3 linked regions of the Macaca mulatta genome follow. The protein of the gene in region 2 binds, or shares a complex with, the protein of the main gene of each other region. Links are inferred from orthologs where the notes say so. Each region holds a gene or a part of one and is shown on either strand. Other genes may lie near its edges. The genes, in order: USP19, SIAH1 and CACYBP.

What was found.
Region 1: the proteins of SIAH1 (region 2) and USP19 are in contact, whole or in part, in a crystal structure (PDB 4X3G), measured with the Homo sapiens proteins. The link is inferred for Macaca mulatta from reciprocal best matches to the Homo sapiens genes SIAH1 and USP19. Residues at the interface, in NP_003022.3 of Homo sapiens: Cys130, Pro131, Thr156, Leu158, Gln159, Asp162, Ile163, Val164, Phe165, Leu166, Ala167, Thr168, Leu172, Val176, Asp177, Trp178, Val179, Met180, Asn276; in NP_006668.1 of Homo sapiens: Lys463, Pro464, Thr465, Cys466, Met467, Val468, Pro469, Pro470, Met471.
Region 3: the proteins of SIAH1 (region 2) and CACYBP are in contact, whole or in part, in a crystal structure (PDB 2A25), measured with the Homo sapiens proteins. The link is inferred for Macaca mulatta from reciprocal best matches to the Homo sapiens genes SIAH1 and CACYBP. Residues at the interface, in NP_003022.3 of Homo sapiens: Leu158, Gln159, Asp162, Ile163, Val164, Phe165, Leu166, Ala167, Thr168, Val176, Asp177, Trp178, Val179, Met180, Asn276; in NP_055227.1 of Homo sapiens: Lys59, Pro60, Ala61, Ala62, Val63, Val64, Ala65, Pro66, Ile67.

The regions. Positions count from the first base shown.
Region 1 is NC_133407.1:112,545,293-112,548,172, forward strand, and holds the end of USP19 (ubiquitin carboxyl-terminal hydrolase 19), read right to left. Parts: coding exon 2,833-2,880; intron 2,747-2,832; coding exon 2,594-2,746; intron 2,488-2,593; coding exon 2,327-2,487; intron 2,246-2,326; coding exon 2,067-2,245; intron 1,067-2,066; coding exon 839-1,066; 3' UTR 555-838; downstream 1-554. UniProt on the Homo sapiens protein: Deubiquitinating enzyme that regulates the degradation of various proteins by removing ubiquitin moieties, thereby preventing their proteasomal degradation. Stabilizes RNF123, which promotes CDKN1B degradation and contributes to cell proliferation.
Region 2 is NC_133425.1:43,773,430-43,776,225, forward strand, and holds the end of SIAH1 (E3 ubiquitin-protein ligase SIAH1), read right to left. Parts: intron 2,515-2,796; coding exon 1,664-2,514; coding exon of another isoform or gene 1,561-1,663; 3' UTR 605-1,560; downstream 1-604. Other genes in the region: LONP2 (lon protease homolog 2, peroxisomal), read left to right, coding at 1,561-1,680. UniProt on the Homo sapiens protein: E3 ubiquitin-protein ligase that mediates ubiquitination and subsequent proteasomal degradation of target proteins.
Region 3 is NC_133406.1:32,460,816-32,464,471, reverse strand, and holds part of CACYBP (calcyclin-binding protein), read right to left. Parts: intron 1,891-3,656; coding exon 1,671-1,890; intron 1-1,670. UniProt on the Homo sapiens protein: May be involved in calcium-dependent ubiquitination and subsequent proteasomal degradation of target proteins. Probably serves as a molecular bridge in ubiquitin E3 complexes. Participates in the ubiquitin-mediated degradation of beta-catenin (CTNNB1).

The sequences.
Region 1 (2,880 bases), on a different chromosome or scaffold from region 2:
TACAATTTTTAGAATAAAATTATAATGTTTATAATGCGGGTCAGAAAGAATTGAAGGTACAACAGAATCAAATCACACAGCACTGGAGGTGGCTAGAGAAGCCAAAGCCCACTGGTCAGGGGTCCAAGCTAACAAGAAGTCCCAACCTGAGAGGTCGCCACACCCAAATCATACCCCACAGCTTCCCGTTGACAGAGCCAGTGTCCTCTGGGTTAGAGAAGGAGAAGCGGCAAGGAGCTGGCCCTCTGTGGTGGGTGTCCCAAACCCAGTCCCCCCCATCAGCCAGGGACCTGCTAATCCACCTCCTCCATGTTGCTGTAGGTGGGGGCTGGCCGATCCACAGGGGGGGCGAAGCGTTCAGGGGCTGTCCGCGTGGGGGCCACCTCGGGGGCCTGGCCAGGGCCTAGTCCCTGCAACAGAATACGAGGACAGGGGTTGGGGGCTGCCCAGCATGCCGCCTGGCATCCCGGGGGTGCTGGCTTGGAGCCCTGGCACCCAAGGGAGGGTCCCAAGGCAGGCGCAGACAGCAGCGGCGTTCAGACAGAGAGACAAGATTGGGCCTGAATAGTCTGGCTTTATTAACACTTTAAGTACAGGAAGTAGCTTGGGCAAGGCCAAGCCCGAGGCCAAGGGTCAGAGCAGCAGGATGAATGGACAAACAGCTGGATGGATACACACCCTACGATGCTCTGCCCCTGCAGGGGCCACAGCCTCCCCATCCTCTCCCACCAGATGCACAAGCTGAGGCCCAAAGCCCAGAGGTGTTCCCCACAACAAAGGCAGGCATGGCCTGGGGCAGGCAGGTAGGCCAGCTCACAGCAGCTGCCTGCAGGCGAGCTCATCTCCAGCGACTCTGGGATACCAGAGGATAGAACACGTTGAGCACGAGGGCCACCAAAGCCGCCACGGTGCCCAGGACAAAGTACCGGAGGCAGCCCTCATCTGGTGTGGTAGGGCCACGTGGCGGGGGGCCCACCCAGTCTTGGGGCCCCCAGGGACCCAGGGGCCCAGGCCCCTCAGGCACCGGCTCCTCCTCAGCCTCCAGCTCCTGCCAAATCCGGGAAGCCTAGGGTATGTGGAAACGGCCATCAGCACCCCAGGGATGGGGAGGACCCAGTGTCCCTGAGACCCTTAGCCATGATAGTCCCACCTGGGGTGACTGGGGCTAACACTCTGCATTCTAGATCAAGCAGCAAGGAGGAAGGCAGGCAGCCAACCTCAGGGTTGTCCAGACTAAGAGCACAAGTGTAAGTAAATCTTGACAGCATTTTGGCCTACCCTAAACAGCTTTCAATCCACGTGCAGCTCCGCATGGAGGTGGGAGGGGAGTTATCTGGTTAGTATTTCAGTCCAGGCCTCTCCAGAGGACACTGATTTATAGGAAACAGGGCGCCAATCCCAGAGCAATCTCCTTGTTCCTTCCCACCCACACCCCAGATCCTGACCAGTCTTCTGCAGGGACTTCTCTAATCCTTGACAGAGAAGGCTTAAGAGAGGATGGAGCCAGAAAGGAGGCGGCCAGTCCAGAAAAGAGATGTGCCTACGCCCACCAACTGGGCCTATGGCACATAATGTCACTAAAAGAGAGAGAAGATCCTGAAGGCTCAGCAAAGACAGATGCTTACCTCAGAGAGTATAACAGCCACCAGAAGCCATGGCCAGCCCAAATAGGCCTTGTCTTGAGTGCACAATAGAACTCAGGGACATCACAAGTGAGGGTGTGTGGGCTAGCATGTGGGGAATGTGCAGAGGAAATCTAGAGAGTATCAGTTATAGTCCATTCATAGCACAGTGCCCAGTGAGGTTCAGAGCAGTTGCCTGACCTGTGCCAACTGGGTGCCAATGTGCTTGCCAGTGGCATCATGTTAGTGTACCTGTATGTTAGTGTCCCCAGGGCATGGGGATGCCTCTGGATAAAGCTTTGATGTTAAGGGAACTCTGCAATTCTCATGAATCCCAAGGCTCAGGGAGCCTGTGGCTGGAGGAGAGGAAGCTATATCCCCAACCCTGCCCCGCAGTCTGTGAGCTGTCCCCCACTATTCTGTAAAGCCGCCCACATGCCTCACCTGGCTGGCAGCAGCCTCAGCTGCAGGGCCTAGGTCTGGGTGGTGCTCAGAGTGACCTGCCCTGGGGGGCCTCTCCACAGGAGAGTTCCGCCGGCGGTAGAAGAGTACATAGGCATAACGCGTCACAACCTGGCTCTCGTCTACCGTTGTCACCGTGCTGTCATCAAACAAGCGCCAGCCTACGGCAGGGTGGGAAGAGTGTGAACGAAGTCTGCACCACCACCCCTACCATCTATCCTGCTGGCTGTGTGTGCCCTCACCCACGTCACTGCGCTGACTGCTACGATCATTGGGCAGGCGTGCACAGGCAGTGTAGTGGCCACCAATCATGCCTCCATAGTGGTTGATGACAGCATACAGATCATAGCTGGGCAGCTGCTCCTCTTTCTGACCAATGCAGAACTTGCTCAGGTCCAGGTTCCTGCAGGTCAGGTCCAGTCAGGGAGGGGTGAGACAGGCAGCAGGTGCTCAGGATGCCCACCTTGGTCCTCACACCCCACGCACAGTTACCAAGGTCCATTGCTTACCGAACAGGGAACTCCACCAAGTCATTGATCTTGTCACGCCAGATAAAACTACGAAAGGAGAAGCGCTTGAGCTGCACGATGAGAACATTTGGCAGGCGCCATAGCAACAGCTGCTTGGAGGCCTCACGGTGCTGTTTGCACTGTGGGCAGTACCTGGTGGGAACAGAGGTTGGGTCAGGACCAGCAAGTCTCTCTCTTCTCCGTCCTGCCCCCTTATCTGCTTGCTGCTCTGTTCTCACCAGGCCTCCTCGGGTGCCAGCACCTCAGGCCGTGTGAAGAGGTTGAGG
Region 2 (2,796 bases):
ATTTCAGAATCTTGCCATGTGCCTCAAAGTAATTAGCAACAGTTAACTACATGGTACTAAAGGCATAATGGTAGCTAACATTCACTGGATGCTGATATGAACAAAGCACTGTTTCAGGTAACATACCTGTACCCCATTAAAACTTTTTAAGTAGCTACCATAATTTAACCCCACTTTACACATTAGGAAACTGGGGCCCAAGGTCACACAGCTGGTTAGTGGGGTAGAGCCGAGACTGGCACTTAGGTGCCTGAAGTCTGGCTGCAGAACCAAGGCTCTTAACCACTAGGCTATGAAATAGTAAATTTATTATTTCATTGTGCTTTTTTAAAGAGGTGAAAAGTGGTCAGCATTTTAGTCATTCTCCTGACAGTTGTAAGAATCAAAATGTGGGCAAGAGGGGCAGAGCATGGGAAAGACTGTAATCCAGAAGCCATATACCCAGTTATTTGCTGTGATTTAGAGTATAACTCTACCACACTTAAAAATGACAACACACAGCTTTCTGCTATATAATTAAAGTACGGAATGAAACAGGAAAATAACTTTGGATTTTATCAAACTTAGAGCTAAAGCAGACACAGTAAGATTTTTTTAATTTGCCAGAAATTCTTTTAATGAGAATTATAAAAGACCAAAAACATTTTTTTGCAAACTGCCTTTTTAAACAAATGATTTGCTTTTAATTACAAATACTGTGCATGACGATGCCTTCTTTTGCAAAACCAATAAATACAAGAACAAATTTTAAACATGTGATTTATCCAAGATATTTGAAAAAGGAAACAAAAGCCTGATTTGCAGTACTTATAAAAATCAATTTATTCTCTAACCTTTCAAAGATTAAGCTCAAAGGTGTGACTCATCCGTAGAAGAGAGAAAGAGAGAGACCATCTTACAGATGCTTTAAATAGCTTTTGATCATTTTTCCGATGTCACCTTTACTTTCTGGAACTCATAGCTTCACAAAGTAGCTGATTTTAAAATATTTCTAATGAACTGATTAATGGGGGAAAAGAAAATATTGAACACATGTTACAAACTTTTACCATAACAAGTATGCATATCAAAAGACACTAACTTTAAAATGGTACAAAAAAAGTGAAGAAAAACCTGAATTACAGAAAGGAAAGTCAAATTTATTTAATGAAAAACTAAAATTAATAAAAATTAGCAAATACACACACAAAAAAGCACACAGCAGCACTATGTATTGACTCACAAAGGGGAAAAGCAGTGGCCCATGACCACTCAAGATGGCTTGTCAGTTAAAGGAGAAAAACCCAAACACGCACACACCCACGCACGCACACACTCCCACGCAAAAACAAAACAAAAAAACTATTTTTCAACAATACAATCAATCTACAACAAACACAAAACTCAGAATTATTTTACAATGCTTCCTTTCTTAATACAAAAGATGCCCATCTTGGGTGTATATACATATATTTTTTCAGTGGTTTACTGTTGACTTATTTTTAAATATATTAGTGTTACTACATGCAACTGTTTCCTGTATTTAACAGCCTTTCCTTTCATTTACCTTCATGTGTCTAGCTTCCACCTACCAAAAGAATTTTAGGTTGGCAGGCAGATGGGTGCCTTATTTTCTGTGAAACTGAAGTTTTAAACACTGGCCAGAAAATGTTTGATTGCCATTTCAACACATGGAAATAGTTACATTGATGCCTAAATTGCCATTTTCTGCAAAAAGCTGTGCAATGCTGGTGTCAAAGACTAGGCAGTCGCTATTCATAATGGCTGTTGCAATTCCTTCATGAATAGATCGAGGAGTCGCTTCCCAAGTCAATCGTCGCCTGTGACCATTTAGCTCAAGTCGGTAAGCAAAATTTTCAGCTTGCTTGCGTGTTCCTATCAGCTGTACAATTGCAAAGAACTGCTGGTGACCATCGTATTTTTCCTGTTTCTCCAAGACTAACATGAAGTGAAAGCCAAAACAGGACTGCATCATCACCCAGTCAACAGCACCAGGAAGATTAATGTCTGTAGCAAGGAAAACTATATCCTCTCCCTGTAGGGTTGTAATGGACTTATGCTGATGCATCAGATGGGGCATTACAGCATCCAAAGAGCCTTGCCATTTACAGGAAGCACCAGGGCACGGACAGGAATAAGGCCTAAACTCACAGAGCTCTTCGTGGTCTGCTTTTTCTGTGTGTGGCAGAGTTATTTCACATCCAGAAGAGGCATATTTACAGGGGAAAAGTACTGAATTAGCCACTTTCTCCATAGCCAAGTTGCGAATGGATCCCAAAGGGCCCCGGCAAGTTGGACAACATGTGAGCTTTGGGCGACAGTTGCTACAAACAAGATGGCCACTCTGACATTGAAGAATGGGTGGTAACACATAGTCAAAGCAGACTGGACACTCAAAAAGACTCGCCAAGTCATTGTTGGATGCAGTTGTGCCAGTCAGGGCAGGTACCCTCTGGGATGGTGGACACTTCGAGGTACCAGTAGGTAATGCTGTAGCAGTCTGACGGCTCATTTCTGAAATAAATACATAAGGAGGCAGGAGAAAAATAATTATAACCATGACTTATTTTACAAATAATGTTTACATGCCAGAAGTACTTTTAAAGTTTCATGCAAAATTTACTGAGCAAAAGAGAAAGAAAAATAAATAGAATTTAAAAAGTAACATACTAAAAAATAAAATTACACTGAATGTGCACTTTATTAGGATCTGTACACTGGATAAGCTCTCTTTTCAAAATATTCCGGAAAACATTTGGAACTCCCTTAATCGTCTTTGGATAGACTACATGGAAT
Region 3 (3,656 bases), on a different chromosome or scaffold from region 2:
ACTGCACTCCAGCCTGGGCTACAGAGCGAGACTCTGTCTCAAAAAAAAAAAAAAAGATTAGTTCATTTACTGCTTTTATGGAAACAATTTTGTCCTACATCTAAATATCGGTAGTTCTCCACTAAGCTGGATGGCTAAGTATCAATACTGTCTAATTCCATAACCATTTCTACTTCTCTAAGTAGTATAACAAATGGAATCCTAGCGCTCTTAATTCCTTTCCAGGGCAAAACAGAATGTAAACGACTCCAATTCTTCATCCAAATCTGACAAACCTACTGGTATCTATTAAATGCCATTTCAGTATGTATTATCAACCTACCAGCAAGTCTCTAACCTAGAAGAACTCTGTCAACATACAAGACATATACGCTTCACAAAATACCATCGTATTTGTAGAAAATAAAAAACTTCACAAAAAGCATCTTCTGTTTATCAAGAATATATACATACATATCCCTGACTCTTCCTCACTTAGTCCTACGGAATAGAAACATGCCCCATCCTCCATGACATGTTTTCACACTGCATGCCTGTATCAAAACATCTCATGTACCCCATAAATACATACACCTACTATGTACCCACGAAAATTAAAAAGAAACATAGTGTTGATCAAAAAAATGCCCTAGAGGGTTCCAGAGAACTTCATTTATTAATAGTTTCTTCCCAGTCAGTCCATCCTCCGGTTTGACAAGTTTCTCCCTCAACACAAATCTATGTTCCTGGTTAAAATGCCATAATCCTAAACACCTTCAGACCAGTTTCCCATACTCAACTGAGTACACGGTGCAATTTCATGTAGTACTATATAGTACATCACTTAAGCACGACATACACATGCTTTTCACTATAACAATACTCAAAATAGATCATGCCTTCCAAGTCTCTATTCATGTCCTCTGCTCATGCTGTTCCCTTCCTTTTGCTGAACGTACAGCTCACCCTTCACACTCATCTAATTCTCCCTGTTCCTCACCTCCAGAATTATTTCCTCAGCTATGTTACCTATTATGTGCTAGACATTATTAGCACAAAGAAAAACCAGACTGTCCTTGCTCCAATGAGAGCTCATCACTCTCACTGAAGTTGCACTGCCGCCAAAACAAAAACACTATATACACCACTGAAGGAAAACAGTATTAGTTTTTGCTAATACTGTTTTGCTAATACATTGTTATGCTATGAGTTATACGTCTATGTCCCAACCACACCATGAGAAAGGATTGGGTCTTAGTCACTGTTGTGTATCCGTAAGTCCAAGCACAATAGTGATATACATTAGGTGCTCAAAAATATTTCCTGAATTTAACTGGATTCCTCTCCTCAGTTAATTGTAGTGGTTGGCAGAGTGAAACATAAAACATGATTAAAAACCACCACCACCACCAAAGCGGTGCCTCATATATACTGAATAATTTCAGAATAAGTTCCTTCCTTGTTGCTACTCCTCATCTTTGTAGTAAATCACCTTATTCTTGTTAACAGCTTCTAGAATGTATCCTTTCCTATTTCTATCTAAAGAAAGTTTTATTAAATAAAAACTGATGGGTCTTCCTCCAAGCCACCGAAAACACAGCCTCAAAACTCATTTAAAGATGAATTTGTTAGATCACTATGAGGAATAGGTTGCTCGGAGGCAAAACTGGCCACAGGGAAGCAAGTCATACCATAATTACTGATTTTCACTGTATAGCCCGTTGTAATGGGAGCAACCACAGCAGCTGGTTTTTCATTATCAAGAAGTTCTGCTTTCTTCTGTGATTTCTGTTGCATCTTGTTCTTGATTTCTGTCTCAATCTTGGACTTTTCAGCTGTAAGGGCATCACGTACTCTTTTCCTAGTAGCCTTTTCCAGCAACACCTTTACCTCTTCTAGATCTTTCTGTAGCTGTGTTAAGACAAAAAATAAGTTAGCTATGATCAATAAGGAAATAGCTTGATATTGTGCTTATCACTCATTTCAACTTACTGAAATAAGCACTAAAAATTAAGAGGTTCATCTAAATTTTCTAGGATTGAGTTGCAACTTCAGTTCTTCCCTCCAGCTTATTAACTGTAATTAACTCAAGCTTCCTTTTTTTCCCAAAAGGAAAACTTTGAACAATCTTGAACAAACAATAAATAAGGTAATCAAACCCAAATTTTCCAGTTTATATTTGCTTTAAAATATTTACAAGAAACATCTGCGATTTAAACAGTAAAACAAAGACTTTTTTTTGACAAGGGATTCAGAGATTTCCTTTAACATCTAATCCGAGTGTCATCAGATGTTAGACACTTTTAAAAATTTAAGAGATGAGAGAACACACAGTGACCATGGTAAAATGCTACACAGCAAACTTTACTGAGGTAATGAATGCTCCATTTTCTGTCACTGATTGGTCTTCACTGATCTTCCCACCTCAAATACCTCAAATAAAGAGAGTCCGAATTTTTAAGACAAAATATTAAAAAAAAAAAAAAAAAAATTCTGCTTTTGAGAAAAAGTCTTGCTCTGAAGCTGGGTCAGTCTTACAGTTAGAAGTGTAGGAGTTGGTTGCATAGAAGGTGACAAAAGACCCAAAATGCAACATACTCTTGGAAATTATCTTTTGAAAAAGCCACCACGTTCTCATTTTCTTCTCATGCCAATCCATCATCTATTAAAGTCTACTTCTTTTTACTTTCGAGAGATAGAGGCAACATTTTATGAAATTCAAGAGTTAAAGACAATGTTAGAAAATTATTGAGCCTAAGTCTTTTTCCCCCAATTACCCTCTGACATACTGCAAATACACAAGATCTTTCCAAACAGCTGTTTCACTTCTTACAGTAACTTTACACTCTAGCTTGATACTAGCAACTTGACCAAAAAAATCTTGTGTCACAGCTTGATTATATCAAAAGCTCAATTTAAAAGTCTTTTAGTGCTTTATAACTCAGAATATCAGACGCACAACAGCGTTTGAAAGCCTTTGTTTCTTAATAGTCTTATAAAATGCAATAACAGAACTAATTCTTTTCTTTTACTACTAGTCTTTTATTATCTCATTTAACTCAGATGCCCTAGTTTTGCCTATCTACAACAGATGACATGGTATAAAAAGTTCAACTCTCGCCGGGTGCAGTGGCTCACACCTGTAGTCCCTGCACTTTGGGAGGCCAAACGGGTGGATCACTTGAAGTTAGGGGTTCGAGACCAACCTGACCAACATGGCGAAAGCCCGTCTCTACTTAAAATTCAAAAATTAGGCGGCCATGGTGGCATGTGCCTGTAATCCCAGATACTCAGGAAGCTGAGGCAGGAGAATTGCTTGAACCCGGGAGGCAGAGGTTGCGGTGACCCGAGATCGCGCCATTGCACTCCAGCCTGGGCAACAAGAGCAAAACTCAGTATCAAAAAAAAAAAAGTTCAACTCTGCCCAACCCTCTTGTCCACACTCTCCCCTTCCAAGAACAGCTCATAATACTATGACAAAAACTCTTGCAAACTCGTCTTTTGAGCATAGAACCAAGATGTTTCCGTTCAAAATAATACATTTTAATGGTTTCAAAAAAAAAAACGCTGATTCTACAACTCCTAATTCATAAAATATTGAAATGTAAAATGAAATATAGTAAGTCTAAGTACGAGGTTTTGCTTTTTGACTGAAATAGGAATGCTTTAGCAGAATC